Caenorhabditis elegans: one gene and its partner. The protein of the gene in region 1 purifies or fractionates together with the protein of each later gene. This does not show direct contact. Each region holds a gene or a part of one and is shown on either strand. Other genes may lie near its edges. The genes, in order: C30G7.3 and usp-3.

The links.
Region 2: the proteins of C30G7.3 (region 1) and usp-3 fractionate together in Caenorhabditis elegans (co-fractionation; one large-scale study listed by BioGRID). This does not show direct contact.

What each region holds. Positions count from the first base shown.
Region 1 is NC_003283.11:14,941,486-14,947,371, forward strand, and holds C30G7.3 (MADF domain-containing protein), read right to left. Parts: upstream 4,220-5,886; 5' UTR 4,121-4,219; coding exon 4,100-4,120; intron 4,036-4,099; coding exon 3,969-4,035; intron 2,697-3,968; coding exon 2,599-2,696; intron 2,444-2,598; coding exon 2,324-2,443; intron 2,063-2,323; coding exon 1,911-2,062; intron 1,537-1,910; coding exon 1,218-1,536; intron 1,172-1,217; coding exon 1,088-1,171; intron 735-1,087; coding exon 690-734; 3' UTR 645-689; downstream 1-644. Other genes in the region: C30G7.4 (Matrix-remodeling-associated protein 7), read right to left, coding at 5,299-5,637.
Region 2 is NC_003279.8:13,948,592-13,953,432, forward strand, and holds the start of usp-3 (Ubiquitin carboxyl-terminal hydrolase), read right to left. Parts: upstream 3,040-4,841; 5' UTR 3,038-3,039; coding exon 2,907-3,037; intron 2,828-2,906; coding exon 2,513-2,827; intron 1,199-2,512; coding exon 902-1,198; intron 1-901. Other genes in the region: rps-6 (Small ribosomal subunit protein eS6), read left to right, coding at 3,587-3,724, 3,897-4,257, 4,313-4,554.

The DNA of each region.
Region 1 (5,886 bases):
CAAAACGTCGGTTCAGTCAGCACATGGACTTCCACAAATCCTTCTAGAAACTGCTGAAATTCTCCTAACTTTTCATTATGCTTATATTTCTCTTTTTTTTTATTTTGGTATCTGGTTTCAATTTTAAAAACATGGTTTTTTTAAAAATAAATATTATTAATAAGTTCTCTGCAACAAAACAATATAATAGCAAACAACCCTTTTCAGATAAAACGTATTGCTATTTTTCCTGAAAGTTCAGTTTGAAAAAGCGTTTAATTTGTTTGACTCTCTGTTGAATTTCCTATTTTATATATGCTTATTTTTTCTCGAATAAATAAGTATGGCGTCAAAAAATTCGTTTAAATCAAAAACCAATTTTTATCATCATGTCGACGAAATAGCTTGGCTTGGGGACACACAAGGTCTAACAAATAAGAATGAAGCTCATAACAGCGCAAAAAACAAGCCGTTTTGCTTCACTTTGCCGGCTTATGTCACAGGGCTTAGGCTTAGGATTTTTTTTGGTTTAGCCTTAGGCTCATTTTTAGGCTTAGTCTTAGGCACTTAGGCATTATTTCCAGTTATTCGCTTTCCTGAAAATTGTTAAAAATCTACTTGAAAATCCGGGTTGTTAGGTGACTACAAAAAAGGTTTAAAAAATTGGAAATCCAATCAATAAATTCTTTATTCGCAAAAATCGAGGAAAATCAATTGCCGTGGATAATGAAGTGTGCAACTTTTGTGACTGTTCCCTGGAATAATAAAATATTTTTACACGGTTATGGTGTTTGCAAGGCACCAAAATTGCGCAAACAAGTTTTCTATTGCATGGGGAGCACGCTCAAAAAATTTCAGAGCTCTGTGTCTACTAAGAGCAAAGTTAGGGTAACTGCAAGTTTTGACATGCGTCGTGTGTCGCTAGGACTTTCAAACCACCTTAACTTTGCTCAAAATGTGGCTACAGCTCTGAAATTTTCTGTGGTTCATTTTTTTCATCTAATTTGATGTTCTGAATTAAAACGCTAAAGTTTCAAAAATTTCATGAGTTTCGTGTCGCGTCGCGGTCCAGCCATGAAATTTCACACAGAAACTTAAAAGTACGTACTCCTGGATTCGAAGCTTTGACACGACGCTGTCTCATCTGACAATTGAAATCCTTGACGTCATCATCGATTTCTTGAAGCTTCTTCTGCAAAAAAATCAATATTTATTTTCCATATTAGGCAATCACTCACCAAATGAGCGGCGCTCTGTGGATACACGGCTTCCGTCACAAATTGCAAACGTTCCATGTTTTCACAGGCCATCGATAGATGTGCGGCAACTCGTTCTGCACACTTTTCCGCTTCAATTGTGCCGTAAAACGCCGGATTTTGAGCAAGGATGACGTCATCGAGTTCCACGTCATCATCATCTTCAACTGGAACATTCACGTTCAGGTCGTCAATATCATCGTCTTTTGGAACTCGGTTAGCAGAGAAACTATCGATTTTCACCTCATCATTTCGACAATTTGATATGCGAATTTTTTGGTAGGATTTCGGTTGGAGGTGGCTGAAACTAGGAAAATTAGGGCTTCAAATTTAATGATCAAGAATTGCGTCATGGCACGAAAAATACGCCAAGGAGCAATGATGACGTCATCATATTAACAATTACATTGGGAGCGTTCACAAAAAATTTTGAAAGTCTTCGAACAGTGCGAGCAAAGTTACAGTGGTTCAAAACTTTAGTCTGCGTCGCGGTTTTTCTCAATACTTCAAATCTACGTAACTGTTCAAAATCTACGTAACTGTTCAAAATTGTTCAAAATGCTCGTAGAGCTGTGTATTGATTTCTCTGTATTGATTTCTGATGTATGTATGTATACTACTGTTAACGCCTTAACGCAAAACTCGTGCCTTGGCGCGTTTCTAGTGCAAACTCACCACACATCCTGAATGACTTGAGTCGCCGCTTCATTGATAGTCACATGTCTTTTGGTGGTTTTTGTGACTTTTTGCTTTGTCTCGGGCAGTTTTTTCAGTTTCAGGCGGTGTTGGTAGGCGTCGAAGGCGTCGGATGCCGTGCGGTTGTTGTACTGAAAATTTTTTGAATTGAATGTACGTAATAATACACAGCTAGCCACACAAAAAATTTCAAATCAATCCACTGGGAGCAAAGTTACAACTAGTCAAAGCAAACAACCTGCGACGCGGTCGATTAATCTTATAAGAAACTTCAAGGCCTGGTAACACTGCTCAAAATAGTCTTATCGAACTGAAATTTCAGGTATGTCTTTCTGATAGGATGTCCAACAAGCCAACAAAATGATAGAGCCTTGGCGCAATTCTCGACCCACCTTTCTCTTATCAAATGGCTGATAAATCCACGTGGCAAGTGCCTTTGGTTGCTCCGCCGCTGCACGATCCCAGTTCGTGACATATACATTCCTTTTCTTCGGTTTTTCCACAATTTTTTGCTGAAAATAAAAATATATATTGATTTATTGATTTTTAGTCCAAAAAATCAAAAAATCAATACATTTCCGGTCGGAATCTGACGATAGATAGTTGTTAAAAATGGCATTTTGTACAGCGATCAAATTTTGAAATGATTTTTTTCCAATATTCTCACCTTGAGGGGACATTTGACACGTGGCGACACTACGGTGATTTGTTCACGTGAAAATTCCAAAATTGACAGTGATGAGGTGGTGGAGCCGGTGGTGCCGTCTGCATAAAATCGATAATCAAAAAAAAGAACGTGAAAAAATATCGCTTTTTACTTAAAATCAAAAATATTTTCGAAGTATTGATTTTTAGGAATTACAGGGTGGGCCAAAAGTATGGTAACACGTTTGCAGCTCTATAACTTTACTAGTGGAGAGAGTTATTACATCAATTTGTACAAGTTTTGTTCTCCATAAAATACTGACCAGATGAACGTTTTGAATTTTCAAAATATATCCATCCGCATTGCTGCAGGCCTTCAGAACTTTTGAGATCACGATCTTTATGGCACGCAAGTCGGCATTCTGCGGGATTTCTACATTTTTCTTGAGGAATCCATAAAGTGTCTTACAAGTTTTTATAGTTCAAAGAATGCCCTTGGTCTAGAGATTCTTTAAAAACAAAAATCAAAATATTTTCTATCACGGTATTTCTGTCATGGACTGCGGCAGTAGGTTAAGTCTTGAATGGCATAGTCGCCAGAAAGATGGATGTGAGCGGCGAGTAGCAGTATTCAGATAAATTTATTTTAGTATTTTTCGAGACGTTTTGACCTGACTTTCCAGAATTTTTTTAGAAAATTGAGCTCGGATGATTTTGTGGGTCGTTACGCCTTGCGAAACCAAAAAAACTGAGTAAATTTCGCAAAGTTGAATTCATGAAATATACAAAGGTTCTTGCTAGGCGCCAGTGTCGACACAGAACATTTTTATATGCTACAAAAACAATTAAAAACGCTTCTTCACTTCTTTAACTTTCAATTTAACATAAAAATCATACATCTGAAAATTATTGGCGTGCGTGGGAGGTGTGTTTGTGTGGGAAGTGCCGCGTGCCAAATTACCGTTTTTTCGAAAGGGTTCGCCAAATTGTCGAGGTGATAAAGATCGCACCTTATTGGGAAACATTACAAATTTTGAGTCAAATTGAAGGAAATTTATTCAGCTATCAGTATTCGATAGAAGAATGTACGTATGACGTGGCAGTCGCGCGAAAAGCTCATGTAAAAGAGCGCTTCATGTGTTACCATACTTTTGGCCCACCCTGTATGCTATTTTTACCAACAAAAAAATCAATAATTCGAAAATTTTAATTTTAACTCTTTTCTGGAACAAAAATCGATAATTACACGTAGGTGAAAATTTTTGTGTAAAATATAGATTTTACGGAAAAATCGATATTTTCTAAATTTTCAAAATATTTATTTTTGAGAAATTATCGATTTTTGAACAGAAACAACAAAAACTATCAGTTTTTCCCGACTCTCAAACTCACAGCAGACGTAATACGGATTACGACGAGTGCCGGCGGTACAGACGTTGTCCCAGATGTGAGAATTTTTCTGAAAAATATACGGTATCGTGAATTGCGCAAGCAAATGCTGGCGCATTTCTCGTGCACCTCACCTTTGATTGTCTGCAGTTCATTGGAGTAATGTGAATAAGCGGCGAGTAATAAATGTGGTATTGACGAGTATAAAAGTGAGAAATAATTGAAATTTATCGATTTTATCAATCTCACGGATTATCGATTATTGTTGAGAATAACAAAATTCGAAAAGGCCACGTGAAGATTTAATTTCAAAAACAGTTTTATTTAAAAAAATATATCGATAATTATTACATTTTCTTTCTTTTTTTCAAATTGAGATCATGACAATACAAAAATCAATAAATTAATGAGAAAAAATCTATAAGACTCCCGAGTAGAAACCATTTTCCACGACATTAGATTTCAGAGTTACATACTTTCCATCTTCCTGTAAAAATCGATAAATTTTGAATGATCGGTAATCTGCCATTTTCAATTTTTGACAAATCGATAATGTGAAGTTTTAATTTTTTTTTTTTGAAAAGTCGATAATATGAAATTTTAATTTTTGAAAAATTGATAATTTTTTATTAATTTCCGGAAAATCCATCATTTGAAATTTTTCATTTACGAAAAACATTATTTTTTATTCACAAAAGCCAAGAAATCAATTGTCGTGGATAATAAAGTGTGCAACTTTTGTGGCAGTTCCCTAGGTTAATGAAATATTTTAACGCGACTTTGGTGTTTGCACGAGAATAGAGCCAAGACACCAAATTTGAGTCAGATATCATGATAACCAATATGGCTTAATGCTACGAAAATAACTTAAATTATCTTCTAAAAATCTCGGAATTAAGCATTGTTGGTGCAAGACTAATAGAAATAATACGGTATATGTTTTTTAATCTACAGTTGGTCAAATATTTCATTGCGAGGTCAATCTGGGTTGTGATGGTTTAACGTCGAATTGTAACTTTTTTGCTGCCATCCCATCAAATTGAACAAAAAACTTACAGCTTTTTATAATATAGAAACAATTTTGGATGCTATCATGTCATAAATATTATAGTTCTATATTTATCAGTCGGCTTCTATGTAAGAAGCATTTAGAATTTCTTCGTCATTGTGAACAATAGATGATTATTGTCAGCTTTTAATTATTATTTTTGCAATTGGACAAATTTCAAACACATTTTCAGTACATCTACAAAAATTGACAACGGTGAAGTAAACTACGATGTCGCATTGGTTTATTAAATTTCAAAATGATGACTAGAAATGCGAACAGTCATCAAATTACATGGATTTTCACAATATTTGGATTCTCTTCATCAACTTGAACTTCAGCTTCTGACAATGAAATTTCTGATAAAGTATTATTCACCGATTGAACATCTGAGGGTATTGTTATTTCCTCATTTGATACTGGAGAGCATGCAGGTGCGGCTGGTGTCGTTTTTGATGGGTCGGATGTTGAACCATCCTTCAAATCTTTTGCCTTTTGTCTTGAATTCGTTAATATTTTTTTGATAGCTATTGAAATGTGCCCATCCTTGTTGAGGTATAGGAAAATGAGAAAAAGAGCAATTAACATGAAGCCGAAACCAATGATGAAATCAAAAACTGCCATGTTTGAAGTTCTGGAATTCTTTGAAGTAGAAATCATTTGTATCCTATATGTTTTTGAATTGGAAAAAACTTACAGCTTCTGAAAATATAGAATCAATTTTAAATGTCATTTTTGTCATAAATATAATAGCTTTTGTACTTTTCAGACGGCTGCTTCTAGGTGTTAAGAATTCCGAAGTTTTTTTTGTTATCGCAAACAATTGATGATGATTTATTTTGGAAATGTGACTAATAATATTTAATTGTGAAA
Region 2 (4,841 bases), on another chromosome or scaffold:
TGTGTATAAAAATTGAATTTTTCAACAAAAATTGAAATTAAAATAGGATTTTTGTAACAAAACCTGCAGAAACGACATTTTTTAGGTGAAAAAGTTAAATTTTCCATGAAAATCGGTATTTGGATTAAAAATCGGCATTTTTCTGTGAAATCACACATTTTATATCATTTTTAGGGCAAAAATTCAAATTTTTAGTTGAAATTTACGCAATTTTCGCTATAAAAATACAATTTTCAGAAAAAATTGCCAAAAAAAAATGGATTTTTGAACCTCAAAAGGTGAATTTTACGCATTTTTAGCGTTAAAAACGTAAAATTTACGATTTTTATTGAAAAAATGAGGCATTTTCCATGAAAAATAGCCTTTCACTGCTAGAAAACTGCATTTTTCACGTGAAAATCACAATTTCGGCTAATTTTCGATGATTTTCCCGATTTTTTGGGTCAAAAATCGCGTTTTTCACCAATTTTTCACACTTTCCAGGTGAAAAACGTACGCTAATGCTTAAAAAAGAAAAATTTTTGACGTTAAAACAGGAAATTTTACGCATTTTTCGGGTTTTTTTTTTAAATTTTAAGACCGGAAAACGCACAATTCACGAGTTTTCCGTGGTTTTCTGCAGAATTTTGCAATTTTCAACTAAAAAACGCAAAATATAAACTAATTTTTGCGTTTTCCTAACAATTTTCACGGAAAAATCACAATTTCTGCTCATTTTCGATGAAATTCTCAATTTTTAGGGTCAAAAATCGCGTTTTTCACCAATTTTTCACTCTCAAGGGGCGGAAAACACCCGATTTTCGCGCATGAATTTCGCATTTTCAGGGTCAAAAATGGCCGATTTTCATGTATTTCGGCTCAAAAAAGCCAATTTTTCACACTTTCGAGGTGAAAAACGTACGCTAATGCTTGTAAAACGGCATTCATAAAGCACGTATTTCCAACATTTCGCATTCCACGTGGCCTATAGGCAATTTCAGATGATGACGTGGCACCGCCGGACCCCGATGACGTAGAATTTGTGGATGATAGTGTGACGTCATGAATTACGGCGGCTCCCTGCTGCTGCTGGAATGGTGGTGTATCGACGAACATTGGACTGACTTTTCCCTTTTTTCCACGTTTTTTCTTCGAATTTCGAGAAGCTGGAGCCACGTGGAGCTTTTGGGTGAATGTTGAGGCGACTGAGGTCACTGTTCTGAAAGAAAATTGAGGATTTTTGAGTGGAAAATCGGAATTTTTTGGCTTTTTAGGTGGAAAAATGGATATTTGATGTTTTTTGGGCTGAAAAATCGGAATTTTTGAATATTTTTAGGTGGAAAAGTGTGATTTTGCTCTAGAAAACGGAAGTTTTTATATGGAAAATTGGATTTTTTAATGTTTTTGTGCTGCTGAAAAATGGGAATTTTGGGGCTTTTTGGTTGAAAAACTGATTTTCTGAATTAAATTTGAAGATTTAACGCTGAAAAATCAACGTTTGGGAGCTTTTAAGTGGGAAATTGAGTTATTGTTACGTTTTTCTATTGAAAAACCGCGCATTTTTGAACATTTATAGTGGAAAAAATTGATTTTTCTACTGAAAATAGGAATTTTTGTGGATTTTTAGTGGGAAAAATGGATATTTGATGTTTTTTGGGCTGAAAAATCGGAATTTTTGAATATTTTTAGAAAAATGTGATTTTGCTCTAGAAAATGGAGGTTTTTCATTGAAAAATTAGTAAAAATATGAGGTTTTTGACGGAAAAATCGGATTTTTCGTGGGCTAAATGAATTTTTTGATGTTTTTTGTGCTGAAAAATCGGAAGTTTTGGGCTTTTTCATTGTGAAAACTGATTTTCTAAAATAAATTTAAAGTGTTAACGTTGAAAAATTCGGAATTTTTGGGCTGTTTAGGTGCAAAAACGGATTTTGAAGTTTTTTGTGCTGAAAGATCGGATTTTTTTGGCTTTTTAGGAGGAAAAATGGATTTTTGATGTTTTTTCCCCTGAAAAATCACAATTTAGGGGCTTTTTAGTGGGAAAAATGAATTTTATCGCAGAAATTGATGAGTTTCTGCCGAAAAATCGGAATTTTTCGGATTCTTAGGGCGAAATACGATTTTTTGATGTTTTTTCACCTGAAAATCGGAATTTTAGTGATTCTCGTGAGGAAAATAGGGTTCTGTTCAAGTTTTTGCGGAAAAAATGATTTCCCAATGGAAAATTAAAGTTTCTTCGATGAAAATTAGGATTTTCATTTTTTTTTTTAAGAAAAATAAATTTTTATGAGAAAACGAACGTTTTTGACTGAAAAATCAAAATTTTCAGAAATTCCAGAGAGAAAAATGGAATTTCTGAGGAAAATTGGCGTTTTTTTCACTGAAAATCGCAATTTATCGGACTTTTCATGGGAAATACGATTTTTACGAGAACTGTAACGTTTTTCAGTGGAAAATTCGATTTCTAGCAGGGTTTATCGATAAAATATCGGTTTTTAACCAATTTTTAGTCCATTTTCCTCGAAAAATACGCACTGAAAAGGCTGTGCCGGTATAGTCGGCCCGTCGCCTCCCTCCATAACGTCTTCCCGGTCGAAAAGGAGCTTCAGCGATTTTAGAACTCCATATAAAGATGGCTCAAAGTCCAGTGACACTTCATCATCACAGGAATAGCAGTAAAGCTCGAAAGAAATGCAATCAATGACGACTGGGTGGCTGGTTTCTTCAAAATGATGCAAAGCGTGGCCCGAGTCGTTTCTTCCGCACAGAATTCGTCCGCAAGTGAGGCACATCAGCGATTTATTGCAATTATCGCATTCGTCGCAGAAGGTTTTAATTATTTCCTGGTTTCTGGAAGAAAAACGAGTTTTTAAAGCTATTTTTAGCTTTTTTTAGCCATTTTCTAGCCAAATTTCTCAAAAAAACTCACTTCACCACCTTCCCACGATTCGAATTTCCCTCCAAGAACAAATTATTGTCCTCCATGTCCTGTTTCTTGCGGAACATCCCCTTGGGCACACGCTCCACACAATCTTCCGCCTTTATATGGGTGCAAAGCATCTGAAAAAATTCGAAAATCAGTCAATTTGAGTGTGAGAGCAAAGTTTTGGCACTTAAAACGCGGATAAAAAATCGATAATCAAGAAAAACAGCAAATTTTCGGCGGAAATCGAAGAAAAACCGAAAATCGAGTCGGAAAATCGGAAAAGTTTGGAAAAAAATAAAATCCATCGGACGAGATAGTGTGGGAAAGGTGGGGTGCAGCAGACGACGAGGCGGATGGGGGATGGGTCTCGCCACGAAGGGCGTGCGCCTTTAAACTGGAATTGTCGTTGGCCTAAAAAGTTTTCGCTCCTTTTTTCATTTTTCCCTCGAATTTTTGGGTGAATTTCTCATTTTTAGGCGAACTTTTCGGTTTTTTTTTCGAATTTTCAAAATTTTAAATGTTTTCCTGATAGTTTTCCTCCACATTTCGCAGGATATTTGCTTGGAAAATCAAATTTATTAGTTTTAGGCCCATGTTTTCGTTTTTCGCTTCAGTTTCTCCTTTTCTCACCCCGTTAACTCATTTCCAATGTTTTTCTTCTTGCAGGTAATAATATTTGAGCGATGAGACTTAACTTCGCCTACCCAGCCACCGGGCTCCAAAAGTCGTTCGAGGTCGATGAGGAGAAGAAGCTTCGCCTCTTCTTCGAGAAGCGCATGTCCCAGGAGGTCGCCATCGATGCTCTCGGTGACGAGTGGAAGGTTAGCGAGTCACCCAAAAACACAGAAACGAAGTGATGTTTCTGTGTCAAATCCTCATTGTTTCACGTGCTTTTTCTTCGCTGAAATGGCTGTGACTAGACATACATTGAGAGTCCCAGTTTTTGTTTTTGAACCGATTCTCGGCTCTTTCAAACGAGTTGCTTTTTTCCAGGGATATGTCGTCAGAATCGGAGGAGGAAACGACAAGCAGGGATTCCCAATGAAGCAAGGAATTCTCACCAACGGACGTGTTCGTCTTCTCTTGAAGAAGGGACAATCCTGCTACCGTGAGCGCAAGAACGGAGAGCGCAAGAGAAAGTCCGTCCGTGGATGCATCGTCGACGCCAACATGTCCGCTCTTTCCCTCGTCATCGTGAAGAAGGGAGATGGAGAGATCGAAGGACTCACCGACTCCGTTCTCCCACGCAAGCTCGGACCAAAGAGAGCCTCCAAGATCCGCAAGCTCTTCAACTTGACCAAGCACGACGATGTCACCAAATACGTCATCACCCACGACAAGACCTTCCCAGATGGTGAGTTTCTTCAATATTCTCTTTAAATTTAGTTTTTAACTGTCTAAATTTCCAGGAGTCACCAAGACCATCGCACCAAAGATCCAGCGTCTCATCACCCCAGCTCGTATCGCCAGAAAGAAGTACCTTCTCCGCCAGAAGCGCAACCAGAAGATCAAGATGCGCGATGACGCCGCTGCCTACCACAAGCTCCTCGCCAAGTACTCCAAGGAAGAGCACGACGCCAAGATCGCCCGCAGACGCTCTTCGGCTTCCCATCACTCCGAGTCCGAGGTCAAGAAGACCAGCAAGAAGTAAATACTGCTGCTCGTTATTGTTTCCTAATGAAATTGTTGTTAAACTTAAATCTTTTTTTTTTGTTGTTCACTCCATTCGTCTCACCAATTATATTTGCACCCATTTGTCGTTGTTAATTTTTTTGAATGCTTACTCCGAGTCCTGGCACGCCACTCAGGGTACTTGGTCGATCCGTTCTTCGCCTGCGGGGCGGATAGCAGGCTTCGCAGCTTTCAAAGCTTTTCGGTTCTTTGCTTGGCTGATAGTTGTATGACTCAACCGAAGGCGTCTCTCGTGTGACCTTTTTA